Linked DNA regions of Mus musculus. The protein of the gene in region 1 binds, or shares a complex with, the protein of each later gene. Links are inferred from orthologs where the notes say so. Each region holds a gene or a part of one and is shown in the gene's direction. Other genes may lie near its edges.

What was found. The genes of interacting proteins can lie anywhere in the genome.
Region 2: Srrm2 (region 1) and Armc7 share a complex: the UniProt entries of both Homo sapiens proteins name them as parts of the minor spliceosome. The link is inferred for Mus musculus from reciprocal best matches to the Homo sapiens genes SRRM2 and ARMC7.
Region 3: Srrm2 (region 1) and Snw1 share a complex: the UniProt entries of both Homo sapiens proteins name them as parts of the minor spliceosome. The link is inferred for Mus musculus from reciprocal best matches to the Homo sapiens genes SRRM2 and SNW1.
Region 4: Srrm2 (region 1) and Cript share a complex: the UniProt entries of both Homo sapiens proteins name them as parts of the minor spliceosome. The link is inferred for Mus musculus from reciprocal best matches to the Homo sapiens genes SRRM2 and CRIPT.

The regions. Positions count from the first base shown.
Region 1 is NC_000083.6:23,802,068-23,806,024, forward strand, and holds the start of Srrm2 (serine/arginine repetitive matrix protein 2), read left to right. Parts: upstream 1-1,157; 5' UTR 1,158-1,331; intron 1,332-1,587; exon of another isoform or gene 1,588-1,930; intron 1,931-3,957. UniProt on the Homo sapiens protein: Required for pre-mRNA splicing as component of the spliceosome. As a component of the minor spliceosome, involved in the splicing of U12-type introns in pre-mRNAs.
Region 2 is NC_000077.6:115,488,317-115,490,966, forward strand, and holds the end of Armc7 (armadillo repeat-containing protein 7), read left to right. Parts: intron 1-396; coding exon 397-758; 3' UTR 759-2,150; downstream 2,151-2,650. Other genes in the region: Nt5c (5'(3')-deoxyribonucleotidase, cytosolic type), read right to left, coding at 2,283-2,428, 2,537-2,650. UniProt on the Homo sapiens protein: As a component of the minor spliceosome, involved in the splicing of U12-type introns in pre-mRNAs.
Region 3 is NC_000078.6:87,449,410-87,452,354, reverse strand, and holds the end of Snw1 (SNW domain-containing protein 1), read left to right. Parts: intron 1-1,385; coding exon 1,386-1,549; intron 1,550-1,638; coding exon 1,639-1,837; 3' UTR 1,838-2,445; downstream 2,446-2,945. Other genes in the region: Slirp (SRA stem-loop-interacting RNA-binding protein, mitochondrial), read right to left, coding at 2,477-2,551. UniProt on the Homo sapiens protein: Involved in pre-mRNA splicing as component of the spliceosome. As a component of the minor spliceosome, involved in the splicing of U12-type introns in pre-mRNAs.
Region 4 is NC_000083.6:87,032,061-87,035,560, forward strand, and holds part of Cript (cysteine-rich PDZ-binding protein), read left to right. Parts: intron 1-2,195; coding exon 2,196-2,299; intron 2,300-2,917; coding exon 2,918-2,982; 3' UTR 2,983-3,500. UniProt on the Homo sapiens protein: As a component of the minor spliceosome, involved in the splicing of U12-type introns in pre-mRNAs. Involved in the cytoskeletal anchoring of DLG4 in excitatory synapses.

The DNA.
Region 1 (3,957 bases):
CCCACGCAGGGGTAGAGGAGTCGTCCTCGAGGGGAAAGAGTTTCCAGTTTTTATAGGCCCTCAGGGGGGAAAGGAGAAGGGGGAGATTAGGGGATTTCCAGATCTAAACAATGTCTATTCTCAAGAAATGGGTATGGAGGGGTACAAGGAGAGTCTAATGAAGGTGCAGCAATGAGCACACACCTGGTCAGAACATTGGCAGACACACAGGTTCAAGGAGTGGCCAGAGCATTGTGCACCTCTATTTTTCTAAATCAGTGAAGCTAGTTCTGCTAACACTGACGTCTATCTTGCCAATTTCAGGGCTTCTGTGTCCTTTTACATTCTGCCAGGATCTTTCAGTGCCTCAGTGGTGGGGCCCTTGCTACCGAGTGAGAGGCACTGGGACAAACTCCCGGAACCGTGCTATAGGGCCAGGAAATGGAACTGCATTCTCACATTCCTCCACTTACATGGCATAGTCTCTATAGGCGAAAAGTAATCACTTAGTCTCTTTGCCCAAAGGTAAGAGAAAGTATTTTTTAGTGGTCTGCAAGCCCCACTTCAGATAGGACTACAGAGGTGGAAACTGTGGAAAGCACCGGATACTGGGCCAGAAGCCGGGTTCAAGTGGCTCCAGAGCTGTCAGGTGGCTTGACTCTGAAGCACCTCTTCCTGCGAAGAAGACTCGGTGCTGTGGGGCCTCGTACACATTAAAGAAAACCATGGTCACAGTGACTAGGTAAAGCTGCTGAGCCACTGCCACCCAACACGGTCACATAAAATGGCGACCCTGCCTAGCGGAGGAGTCTTACGCGTTTTCTCTCTAAAACCGAACTACAGCTCCCAGAACTCTGTGCGCGGAAGGCGTGCGTCTGAGCTACTCCCGGGTGTTGTGGGTTGCGGCCCCCGCGCCCCTCCCCCCTCCTACAGAAGTTTTTTTTCAGCCGACCTTGCAGCTTCGGTACGGAGCCACGCCTTTCCCCGCAGTGCCCGACGGGACTCGGGGTTTTTCGACTTTTCAGTAGCACGTCCCTTCGCCTAAGGTCCTCCTTGTGGCTTCAACGCCTGCGCACGACGCACTACGGTTCCCAGAGGGCCCAGCGGCTCTCATGATTGCGTGCTGACGCACTAGGTCGTGCTGACGCGCAACGCTGCCCAGGCGGGGTGCGAGTGGCGCAGTCGAAGCCCGCTGCGGCCCCTGAGGAAGCGAGGAGGCGGCGGCGGCGGCGGCTGAGGCGGGCGGACCGACGAGGCGGCGGCTTCAGGCTCCGAGGGATACGAAAACTTAAGCAGCAGCTGCGGCGGGACCTCCCTGTTTGACAGTCGGCGGCCGGAGGCGGCGGCGGCGGGTGAGAGAAAGGGAGCGCGCTAGCCGGGTGGGGGAGGGGCGGCGGGCTGGGCCGGAGGCTAGAGCGCGGGGAGAACGGCCCAGGCCGCCGCGCGCACGCGTGCTCGTCGCCTCGGCCGGCGCGGTCGCCTTCCCTTCCTCCCCTCCCCCTCCCGCGGTTCCTGGGACGCGCGGCCTTCAACTCCTCCGCCCCTCCCCCACACGGCCGCGGCGCGCGCGGCCGCCTGGTCTCGTCCGCGCGCCCCCGGTGAGACAGCATTGCGCGAGGCTCTGCTTCTCTCCTTTGCTCTACCTGGGGCTGAGGAGGCCGTCGTTCCGCGGTCGTCCTCTTCGGTCTTTTAGGGGGCGGGGAGAGGGCGGCAGCGGAGGTACTTGTCCCCCGCCCGAGCTTCGGACCTGCTGGTACCTCTCCTCGATCGGCTCCGGCGTGGGTCCACGGGCCCTGCTAGGGGCCTGAGAAACGGCCAGAGCCGCCCAGACCGCGGGGCGCCGCGTGGCCCCCTCCCCCCTCCTCGAGGCCGAAAATAAGCTGGGCTGCCCAGTGGGCGGCGGGAGGAGGCCTTGAACTTTCGGAGGCCAGGATTTAAACCGTTCGTCCTCGTTAGTATCAGAGGCTGTGAGTGTGTGCGTGGGGGTGGGGGATCCCCAAGTCTTAAAAAGTGAGGATAATAAAACCGCGAAAGTATTCAGCCTGCGTGTATAAGGAAGACCAATGTGCTCCTTTCAACCCTGTTATTTTATTTCTTTTTTACGGTTTGGTTTTATGAGCTAGGGCCTCTAAATAGTCTTGGTTGGTCTGGCACTAACCGTGTAGATCAGGCTAGCATTGAACTCAAGAAATCTGCCTGCCTCTGTGGGATCAAAGGCATGAGACACCATGTCTGGCTCCTACCCTGGTTTTTGTTTTTTGTTTTTTTTTTCCCCGGAGACAGGGTTTCTCTGGCTGTCCTGGAACTCACTCTGTAGACCAGGCTGGCCTCGAACTCAGAAATCCGTCTGCCTCTGCCTCCACACCCGGCTCCTACCCTGTTTTTAAAAAGGTCTCCTCAAATATTAAAGCTAAGCCTTTTAGAGCTTTTCGATGGGGAAAAAATTCTTGACTTAATAGCCTGGCTTCAGTCAGCCATTACTTGGTGATGACGTTCTTCCTTGCTGTTTCCATCTTACAGTTCTTTTAAGATGTCTCTTAATTGTGGATTCAAAAGGAAACTATTGCCTTTTTCCGTGGGAGTGGGGCCTAGGCCTGGATGTATACTGTAGCTTGTATGTTTCATGGTGCCTATGCAGTCAGTAGTGTCTCAGCTCTGAGTTCTCTGTATTTTTTACTCAGCGTCCTTTTCCTTGATCATTGCTGTTCTCTCGGTCGCTGTTTCTTGAATATCTTAGTTTGCTAATTTTCTACCTCTTTGTATTTTGGCATTCTGATAAGTTTTCCTCCCTTGCCGGCAATTTGTTCTTGGAGAGGCTTGCATGCTTTGGGCTCCTGTTTTAAATACTTCCTGGTTTTGGTAGTTGTGGTTTCCCTTTTAGTGTTTCAAGCATTGTTTTTGGCTGCTGGTATGTAAGTCCCCCCTCCCCCTTTAGCTCGTCTCTGAAAATTCTCCAAAACTGTGACTCTAATACTTTTTGCTTAGCTTTCATTCTTCAGGTAGGGTGTGGGAGGATTTTTGTGTGAAATGGTGAAAATATGAGTGGTTAGAAGGACTGTTAGGTGAGAAAGCAATATAAGCCCTAGATTTAGAGTGAGGAAGGATTGGTTTTTCTTTTTCCAAGACTATCAAGAGTGGTTGTTAGAAGGTACTACAGAAACATTAGAGGGGGGGGGCTGTAAAAAAGGTTTTGCATTTCTTAGATTTAGCCTTATCTCTTACTCTTGTTGTCTCTCCTAGATTTACCTTTCTTGCTTTTAGTTTCCTCTTGTGTTAACTGTTGAGATTGAGTAGGACTTATGTTAGGCTTGAGGATGAAATGGGGCAAAAGTGCATCTGGGTGTTTGCTTTACATTCAGCATCTTCCTTGATTCCCCCCCCCCCCCCCCCGCACTTTGGTGACATGTCCCCATCCCCAGACTAGGATTTTTTTTTTTTGTAGCCATGGTTGTTCTGGAACTTGCTGTATAGACCAGATTGGCCTAGAACTCAAGAGATCCACCTGCCTTGCTTCCCAAGTGCCGGGACTAAAGGCAGTGCCACCAGAACCAGGCAACACACTTCAGTTTGTTTTTTGTTGTTGTTGTTGTTTTTTTTTTTAAACCGGGCATTGATATGGTACTATTTCACCCAGCTCCATCTCTGCTATCTGCTTTTACTAACCTCTGCTTTCCCCTGTGTGTGTGTTTTGATGCTAGTTTTCTTTCCCATGTTTGAGACCCTATTTTGGAGAAAATGTGTTAGAGGAAAAAAGTAAAACATACATAGTTAGAAGGGAATAGGGAATGAGTAATACAGTCCAAAAAACTGGAGCTTGAGAGTTTAGTGATGCTGAGCTTGGAACACCATGAAAAGGTAGAACCTTACAGGAAAACTGTTAAATTGGAGAGTAAAGCAGGACTTAGAAAAACAATGAAGTGTCAGAACAGGGATTGATTGATTGATTGAAAGTCAACACTTTTACATTAAAGGTATGGA
Region 2 (2,650 bases), on another chromosome or scaffold:
CTCTGCCAGGGCCATACACTGTCTTAGCTGTTGAGCCACTTATCTAGCCTGGAGACATTATTTTTAAGCTCTACATGGTATTTTTTATCCAATGAGCTTGCTGTAATTTACTTAGACTTAGCATGTCGTGAGGTTTCTGGTTTCTTTTTCTTTCTCACTATCCTTTTGGGGGAGGGCTGATGCTGGGGACAGAAGTCAGGGTGACTCCCAGGGTGGACTCCTGAAGCCTTGGCAGAGGACTGGGTCTTGGTGACCTTGCAGTCCCTGTCCACAGGCAGACTTCTCCCCAGGCCCAAGTGCTTCCTCAGGACTCACTAGCCAGAGAGAGGCTGGGAGGCGAGACAGAGGAAAACCAGAACCCAGGCACCCGGCTCATCCACCTTTGCCTCTCTCCAGGGGGGCTCTGCAACCTGTGCGCGGACAAGGCCAACAAGGAGCACGTCCTGCAGGCGGGGGGCCTCCCGCTCATCATCGGCTGCCTGTCCAGTCCTGACGAGGAGACGGTGCTGTCTGCTGTCACCACTCTCATGTACCTGAGCTCGCCAGGCTCCCGCTCCCATCCCGAGCTGACCTCCCTGCCCGTGGTCCAGTGCATGCTGCGCTTCTCCATCTCTGCCAGCACACGGCTCCGGAACCTGGCCCAGATATTCCTAGAGGACTTCTGCTCGCCGAGCCAGGTGGCTGAGGCCCACAGCCAGCAGGCCCATTCTGCCCTGGGGATCCCACTGCCAAAGACTGAGGCCCCACAGCAGCCCTGACCCAAGGACACTTAAAGATCCTGCCACAGGTATAGGAAGCAGAAGGCTAATAGCATCCTGAGCCCATCCTGCGCAAAGTGGTGCTTGTTCAGCTGCATGCAAGCTGCAGTCTTGGCATGACAGGCGTTTGCATCCAGGGAAAACAGGAGGAGGGACGAAGCCAGACTTGAGATGCTTAGAGGAGAACCAAAGCTGGTATGGCTTTCATGGACTGGCAATCAATAAACTACAGACAGACCACCACCTCTGCTGCCCCCAGTGCCCAGCTAATGCCCTCGTGTAAGAAGCTGTGCCCCTGGGAGAGTGGCCAGTACCATGAGTGTCCAGAGTAATTTTGATGGCTAGAGATCAATCAGCCTTATTGTCTGGGGAAATGCCGTGGGTTGACTCCTCCCGTGTTGAGGCTGAGTATCTGGGCATGGTAGCATTGACTTGGAGAGCTCTGCAGAACAGAAACAACTATCCACACAGCCCTGCTCTCTGCGAGGCGCCCTAAGAGGAATGCAGAGGTGAAGTGTCTTCCCTTGGGTGTCACAGCTTAATGAGTGTTAACTAAATGGCCATTGGGCATGAAGAACAAGGCCCTACAGGTGTGAGAGCAGAATGAAGGAGAACTGAGGGCACCCGGGCATGCCTTGTCTCTCTGGAGAGGCCCTACATAGGATCCTTGGGTTAGACAGCAAGACAGTGACTTCTGTTTTACCAGGCTGTGGACCACTCATGTGCCAGCTGCCAAGTGTGGCATCCCTGTCTTTTCAAAAGAGTTGCTCTGGCCCCCTTTGCCTATGGGTCAGATCTTCTGACACTTGGGTGGGAGCCCTGAACATGAACCTTTCATGGGCTATCCCAGTCTGCTTCCTGCCATTCTCTCAGGAGCCACAAGCCTCCAGTAGGTACTGTCAACCCCTCAGGACTCAGATGCAGACCTTCCATAAAGACACCTAGAAACTAATGTCAGGGGACCATGGCGGCCCAACCTCTAATCTAATCCCTTGAGAGACAGGAGCGGGATAGCGATGAGTCTGGTCCACCTAGTGAGTTCCTGACCACAAAGGTCCGATAGAGTCTAACGAGCTCCTGTAACTGGTTACCCCGCCCTCCTCTGCCACTGAGAAGAAAAAATGGAATTAGGGGATAAGCGAAGAGCAGTCCTGACAGGAAGTGGAGTTTAGGGAAAATGGGGGCCCTGATCACTCAGCATTGTCCCCCCTCAGATGGACAACGAAAGCTGAGGAAGGAGATCTACAAGGGCTGGAGAGGGGCTGTCGTACAGCCACTGGATGAAGGAAGGCTCCCGCTCCCATCCTGAGCTGAAAAGGAAAAGGAGCATCAAAGATCCAAAGCCTCGCGTTTGGTTTTTATTTTTATTAAAAACCTCCTGATTTTCTCCACTGTATTTGTGTGCTAGTCTCCTTCTTTCCCGTGTAGGCCTCCTGGGAGGAGCCGGAAAGCAGTCTGTTCAAGTGGCTCCCTGATTAAAGAAAGTCACCTGTCCAGGCAGGGTCCTGTCCACCTCAGGGTCCTTCACAGGCTGGCTCGCTTGCTCTCAATGATCCCCCTCCAGTTGTCACTCCAGGAAAGCAGCCGTCTCCTGGTGGGGGGCAGGGCCAGGTGCTGATTGTGGCAGCAGGTGAACAAGATGTGCTCCCAGCTTGGGGTCTCCTCTAGGCCTGGGCAGTAAAGACAGCGTGCGCTCTGTAATTGGGTCATTTTTACTCCTCCTTAATCCCAGCAGGCCAGATGCCTGGGGGTTGTCAAGGTTAACTGGCTGGCCCAACCTTGAATGTTGTCTTTGTCATCAATGAGCAGGTCTCCCATGACCACCGTCTTGTCCCTAGTCAAGATAATCCGCTCCACAAACTCTGGCCCCAGGTTCTGCTCCACCCAGCGGT
Region 3 (2,945 bases), on another chromosome or scaffold:
AAGCAACAATGCTTTTTTTTGATGTTTTATATTCCTGGCATTGTTCCAAGTCTATTCATTTCAATCCTTTGAAACAATGGAGGTGGACGCACAACATATGAAGCTAGACTGTTGGGTTTGGGGAAGAGGTTTCTTTTTTCCATTTTCATTTGTATGCATGTTTGCCTGTGTAGGCACTTGTGTGTACATGCATATGTTAATGTTGGAAGTTGATGTTAGGAATTGTCTTTATCACTCTCCCTTCCAACTTATTCACTGAGGCAGATCTCTCAGTCCATTCCAGAACTCACTGAGAGAGTTAGTCTTCCTGCCCAGTCTGCTCTGAGGTTTCCTGTCTACATCTTCAGAGGATGGAGTTACAGGCAAGCTTCCACAGCCACCTGTCATTTACACGGGTTCAAGGAATCCACACTTGTGCCCTCAGGCTTATGCAGAAAGTGCTGTAACACTGAGCCATCTCTGCAGCACCCTATTATCTCTCTTAGATATTGAGATAGGGTTGGATAATTGATGGAACTGAGATTCAACTTGAATTCTTTGATTCAAAGCTTTATTCTTAACTGCTGTGCAATGTAAGCTAGGCTGGGCAGGAGTCAGAATGAAAGTTCCACATAAGTAAATACTTCAAAGTGGTCATCTCTTCAGACCTTAAGCTTAAACCTTTTAAAACCCTGGGAAACTTGACAATTTTCATTGTGATTTAACGGATAGTGACATTCTCAGGCAGTTGAGGTGATGTTTGTTAGCATCATTGTCCAGTACCTACAATATAATCCTTCAATTTTAATGTCACTGTTAATTGATTTTTTTGGAATTTGGTCTTTGAAGAATTTCATACAATTGAGTTTGACCATATTCACTTTCCTCCACCTCCTCCCAGATCCACCCTACTTTCTCTACACACCCAACTTTGTGTTTTCTTTTTGTTTTAGTTCTGGATTTTTGAAGATGTATTCCTTATGTATCCCTGGCTGTATTGGAATTTACTATGTGAGCCAGGCTGGCCTTTGTAAACCAGATCTGCTTGACTCTCTGCTCCTGGGTGTCTCGATTAAGGTTGTGCACCACCACACCCAGCCATATGTCCTTTATTTTTTGGCTAGTCAGAACTTTGTTGTTTGAGGCAGGGCCTCTTATATATCTCTGGCTGTCTTAGAATATGACATTTGGACCAGGCTGACTGAAACTCAGACCTACCTGCCTGCCTCATTACCGCTGGGACTCAAATGTATATGAATAACTTGATACTTGTTTATTATTTTATATAAATGTTGCAGTTGAGGTTTTTAAATTAGCTGTAAACATGGAAATGTTAATTCCTAAGTATTCAGATCCAGCTTTGGATAAGTATACCTTTATTTTTAGTGTCCTTCATTTTTCCACAGGGTATGGACAGTGGATTTGCAGGTGGAGAAGATGAAATTTACAATGTTTATGATCAAGCCTGGAGAGGTGGGAAAGATATGGCCCAGAGCATCTACAGGCCCAGTAAAAATCTGGACAAGGACATGTATGGTGATGACCTGGAAGCCAGGATAAAGACCAACAGGTACCGTGTAGACAGACAGACGGTTGGTGTTCCGTCCCGTTTACAGCAGCCAAGGAAGAGTGCTCATGACCTCTGCTCTTTTCCCCTAGATTTGTTCCTGATAAGGAGTTTTCTGGATCAGACCGCAAACAGAGAGGCCGAGAAGGACCAGTGCAGTTTGAGGAGGATCCTTTTGGTTTGGACAAGTTTTTGGAAGAAGCCAAACAGCACGGTGGTTCTAAAAGACCCTCTGATAGCAGTCGCCCCAAGGAACATGAGCATGAAGGCAAGAAGCGGAGGAAAGAGTAGAGGGACCTCTTAAAACTAAATCTGACATATGCAGCAGAGGACTGCCTGGTCTGGCCTCATTGTGAACAGATGTCCCCACCCCCTCCAGACACTTGAGACTCCAGGGAATAGGGCGTCCTAGTGGGTGGGGGTGGGGACATCCTCTTGGAAATGGGGGAGGAGGAATGGGATGAGGAATCATCAGAGAGATGACCAGGAGGGAGATAAAGACTGGACTGTTAAAAAAAAAAAAAAGATTAAAAAATCTCGATGATAGATCCCAGCACTCCTTTTCATTCTGGGATGTAGGGGCATTGATTATTCTATTTCGGAGTAGTTTTTTTATATGGAATGGGGTTATGTTTGTGCTTCTCCAATCTTGCAGCACTTAGAAATACCACTGCCCCACACAGAATTGAGATTCCTTCCTTGTGTGTGACACTAATCCAGCTGTAACCTTTTCTGTAAACGTTATGAATAACCTCACCTCAAATGGTGAGTGGGCTAATGTTCACACACTGGAGCTCTGTCAACTGCATTTGCCCTGTGTGCTTCTCCACCGCGCCATGGGGAACTAAGGTCTTGCTTAGTGCACCTCATTTCAAATAAAAACGTGTAGAAAAAGTCTCAATTCTGTTTATTTAGTGGACGGTACACTGATCATCTCAGAAATCTTTCTTCATCAGATGTTTGAGCTCCGTGCAAAGCCTTTGCTCTTTGAGCTTGAACGTGGATCTATGGGAGGGAAAGCACTGTCAGAAAAGGTAATTTTTTTTTTAAAGAAACATTAAAGGATAATATAGCTACTTACAAGTTTAGAAACTCATACCCAGTGACTCAAGTGGCTGTTGTGTTCCCGGTACTCATCTTAAGATGGTGGGACTGATAAGGTTTCAGCCCCTTTGTCTACACTGCTATTTCCACTGTTCTGTGTTACATACGTGCTGATACGCCATCAGAGGGCTTTCCACGTGGGGATGTAACTCAGGAGAGCCTGGGCTTAGCATACGCGTGCACTCTGCACTCAGTCCCTGGCACCAGAGCTGAAGAGAGGTCTTCAGGGACTTCCCTTTTCAGACTCGCACGCACGACATAACTACTCTTAAAGGGACGTGGAGCACACATCGGA
Region 4 (3,500 bases), about 63 Mb from region 1:
CTACTATATTACATTAAATTTTCAGTACCGTTATTTATAATGAGCAAGAAACTCTGGGAGGCTGGAGAAATGGCTCAGTGGTTAAGAGTATACACTGCTTTTCCGGAGGATCTGAGTTCAGTTTGGACATCAAGAAGCTCACAAACTGCCTTTAACTCCACTTTCAGGGGATCCAGCACTGTCTTCTAGCCTTAGCAGCAGAAACCCTGACACAAACACACACATAAACATAATTTCAAAAAACAATAGAATCTCTAGAAAAAGAACAAAATTCCTGCCAATTAATGAAAAAAGCTCATTTCGAGGTTAAAATGTCGTTTTAGAACAATAAAAATGTGGTTTCAGAAAAGGACTCTAAACATCTAAGTTGAAACAAAAATTTTACTTACTCTTGTGGGAGTAAAGTGATTCAGTTTAGAAAAGCTAACCTCCAAAACGTACCTATTACGTAGCCGTTATGGTACATGTGGGGAGCTGAGTGGGAAGATAGTAAATGCCGTGACAGCCTGCGCTATGGAGCCAAATTCTGTCTTAAAAATCAAATGAACCAGCAAGTAACAGGTGTCTGTTTAATATAGAAAACAATGGGGCTGAGAGATGGCACAGCGCTCTTCCAGAGGACTTGGATTCAATTCCCAGCACCCATACGGTGGCTCACAACTGTCTCTAACTTTGGTCCCAGGAGATCCAGTGCCCTTTTTGTCTCCCACAGGCACAACCCACATAACACACAGACATTTATTCAGGCAAGACACCTGTACACATAAAATTAAAATATATAAAGGTAAAAAAAAATTTTTTTTAAAGAAAAGAATATCCCATGCTGTAGCCCAAACACGATACTAGGACTCTGATGTTTCATGGAGCAAATATAAATAGCTGTTTGGGGGGAAGGCAAACAGTCAGTTTTGGGAGAATTGTTTCTTATAAAGCTATTTGCCCTGTGTTTCCTATAGGTTACCATGTTCATGTTGAAAACCCTGTATCCAAAGGGATTAGTCTAGTCACTTGAAAATGCTTGTTAAAGTGAGGAGTCATTAGGAGATGGACCTGCTTCATTTTACAACCAACTGTAGATGTATTCATCTATTGTTGGCTATTGAGATTAAGCTTTTTCAGTCTGGATCTACTGACAAGAGTTTTATATAACATCTCACATAAACATGGTTTCATCACCAGAATATATATTTTGTACCCTCAGAGTGGAGCAAACACTAAGCCAGGTGTGATGGCTCGTGCCTGTAACCCCAGTGCTTCGGTGCTGGTGACAAAAGCATTGGGAGGACAAGGTCATCCAGCCTGGGTTCACCAAAAGAGGGGCCTGAGCTGGGAGGGGAATGGGCCCGGGAAGATGGCCTGAGTTTGCTTCTCAACGCCTACAGTATGCAGCTCAAAACCACCTGTAACCCCAAGTCTAAAGGACCCGAACCCTCTGGCTTCCATAGCTACCCCTGCACACATGAGAGAGAGAGAGAGAGAGAGAGAGAGAGGAAGAGGAAGAGGAAGAGGAGGAGGAGGAGGAGGAGGAGGAGGAGGAGGGGAGGGACAACATATGGAGTCCTTCCTCCTGTTTTTAGTAGTTGGCTTACCCTTATATAATCCCAGCACTTGGGAGGCAGAGGCAGGTGAATCTCAGTGAGTTTAAAGCCAGCTTGGTCTACAGAGTGAGTACCAGGACAGCCAGAGCCATACAAAGAACCCCTGCCACACACACGCACGCATGCTGTACTGGCTAGTTTTGTGTCAACTTGACACAGCTGGAGTTATCACAGAGAAAGGAGCTTCAGTTGAGGAAATGCCTCCATGAGATCCAGCTGTAAGGCATTTTCTCAATTAGTGATCAAGGGGGAAAGGCCCCTTGTGGGTGGGACCATCCCTGGGCTGGTAGTCTTGGGTTCTATAAGAGAGCAGGCTGAGCAAGCCAGGAGAAGCAAGCCAGTAAAGAACATCCCTCCATGGCCTCTGCATCAGCTCCTGCTTCCTGACCTGCTTGAGTTCCAGTCCTGACTTCCTTGGTGATGAACAGCAGTATGGAAGTGTAAGCCGAATAAACCCTTTCCTCCCCAACTTGCTTCTTGGTCATGATGTTTGTGCAGGAATAGAAATCCTGACTAAGACACATGCATACACACACACACACACACACACACACACATTTCTATTGTATGACTATCTTTTTTTTTTTAATTCTCTAGGTTTGATCCATATGGAAAAAATAAGTTCTCCACTTGCAGAATTTGTAAAAGTTCTGTACACCAGCCAGGTTCTCATTACTGTCAAGGCTGCGCCTACAAAAAAGGTATGCGTTTTTAACTTAATTTTTTTACTTATATCAAATCTGTCTCATTTGCTATTGCTTTAAATAACAAAGGAATAACCTTTCATAAATTGTTAGTCAAATGCTCCTTTTTACTAAGATAAAATAGAATTTAAAATAAATTTATAGTCAAAAGGATATTCCTTTTTCTTTCTTATGATGTTTTGACGTTCTTAAAGACTCTGACTGTCCTTTATCTGTGTGTCTGTCTGAGTGCATGTATATGTACATGTATGTGGAGCTCACCTAGGCATTAGGCATGTGTGCTCACAAGGCACAAGAGGGCACCATGTCTTTCTTTCTTACTATACCTTTTGAGGTAGGGTGTCTCCCTGAACCTGAGATGCCTTTTTCTCAGTTGGGCTAGAAGCCAGCAAACCAAGGTTCCTCCTGTCTGCACCCCACTTGGATCTGAAATTATGGGCATTTGTGAGAGTGTGGATGCTGGACTCCAAACTCTGGTTTATATGATTACAGAGCAAGTGCACTTATCCGGGGAGCCGCCTCCCTGTCCCACTGAGTGACCTTTTAGGCGTTAGATTGACCTAAATAAACCAGGCAGTTGCACTGCTTGCTCACACACGTTTTCTTGTGTTTCAGGCATCTGTGCGATGTGTGGCAAAAAGGTTTTGGATACCAAAAACTACAAGCAGACTTCCGTGTAGATATATTGATGAAGATCCTGACTCTCTAGGATTGTACTTTGTGCTTCAACTATTCAAGGCATAGCATGAATGGACGTCCATCTTACAAAATAACCTGTGTGAAGATGAATGATTCGGCCTGAAGCAGGGAAGTTGATCAGTATTGATTTGTCTGCTCTCACAAAGTTCTGAACAGCAATGATACGCCCAGTTTTCTGCCTTAAGTGGTTGTTTTCCTTGTGAGCATTGTACTGAACTAGATAAGAGACAAAATTAATGAATAAGGTGTTCCTGACTTCTGTACGCACTGTCTACTCAACATTATCCATATGATTCTTACCTGATCCATGCATTTATTTATAGTTACTGCAAATGTGAAATTACTGATCCTTTGCTCTGAACTTGACATCCAGACCTCAGATTTCTCATTTATTCACAAATGTCACAGTTCTTAGAATGAGCAGCACCTTAGTTAAGTGCATTTTCATGAGCTATAAATTATTGCAGAGTGGTTCCTTAGTGACCAGTCCTGCCGAAAG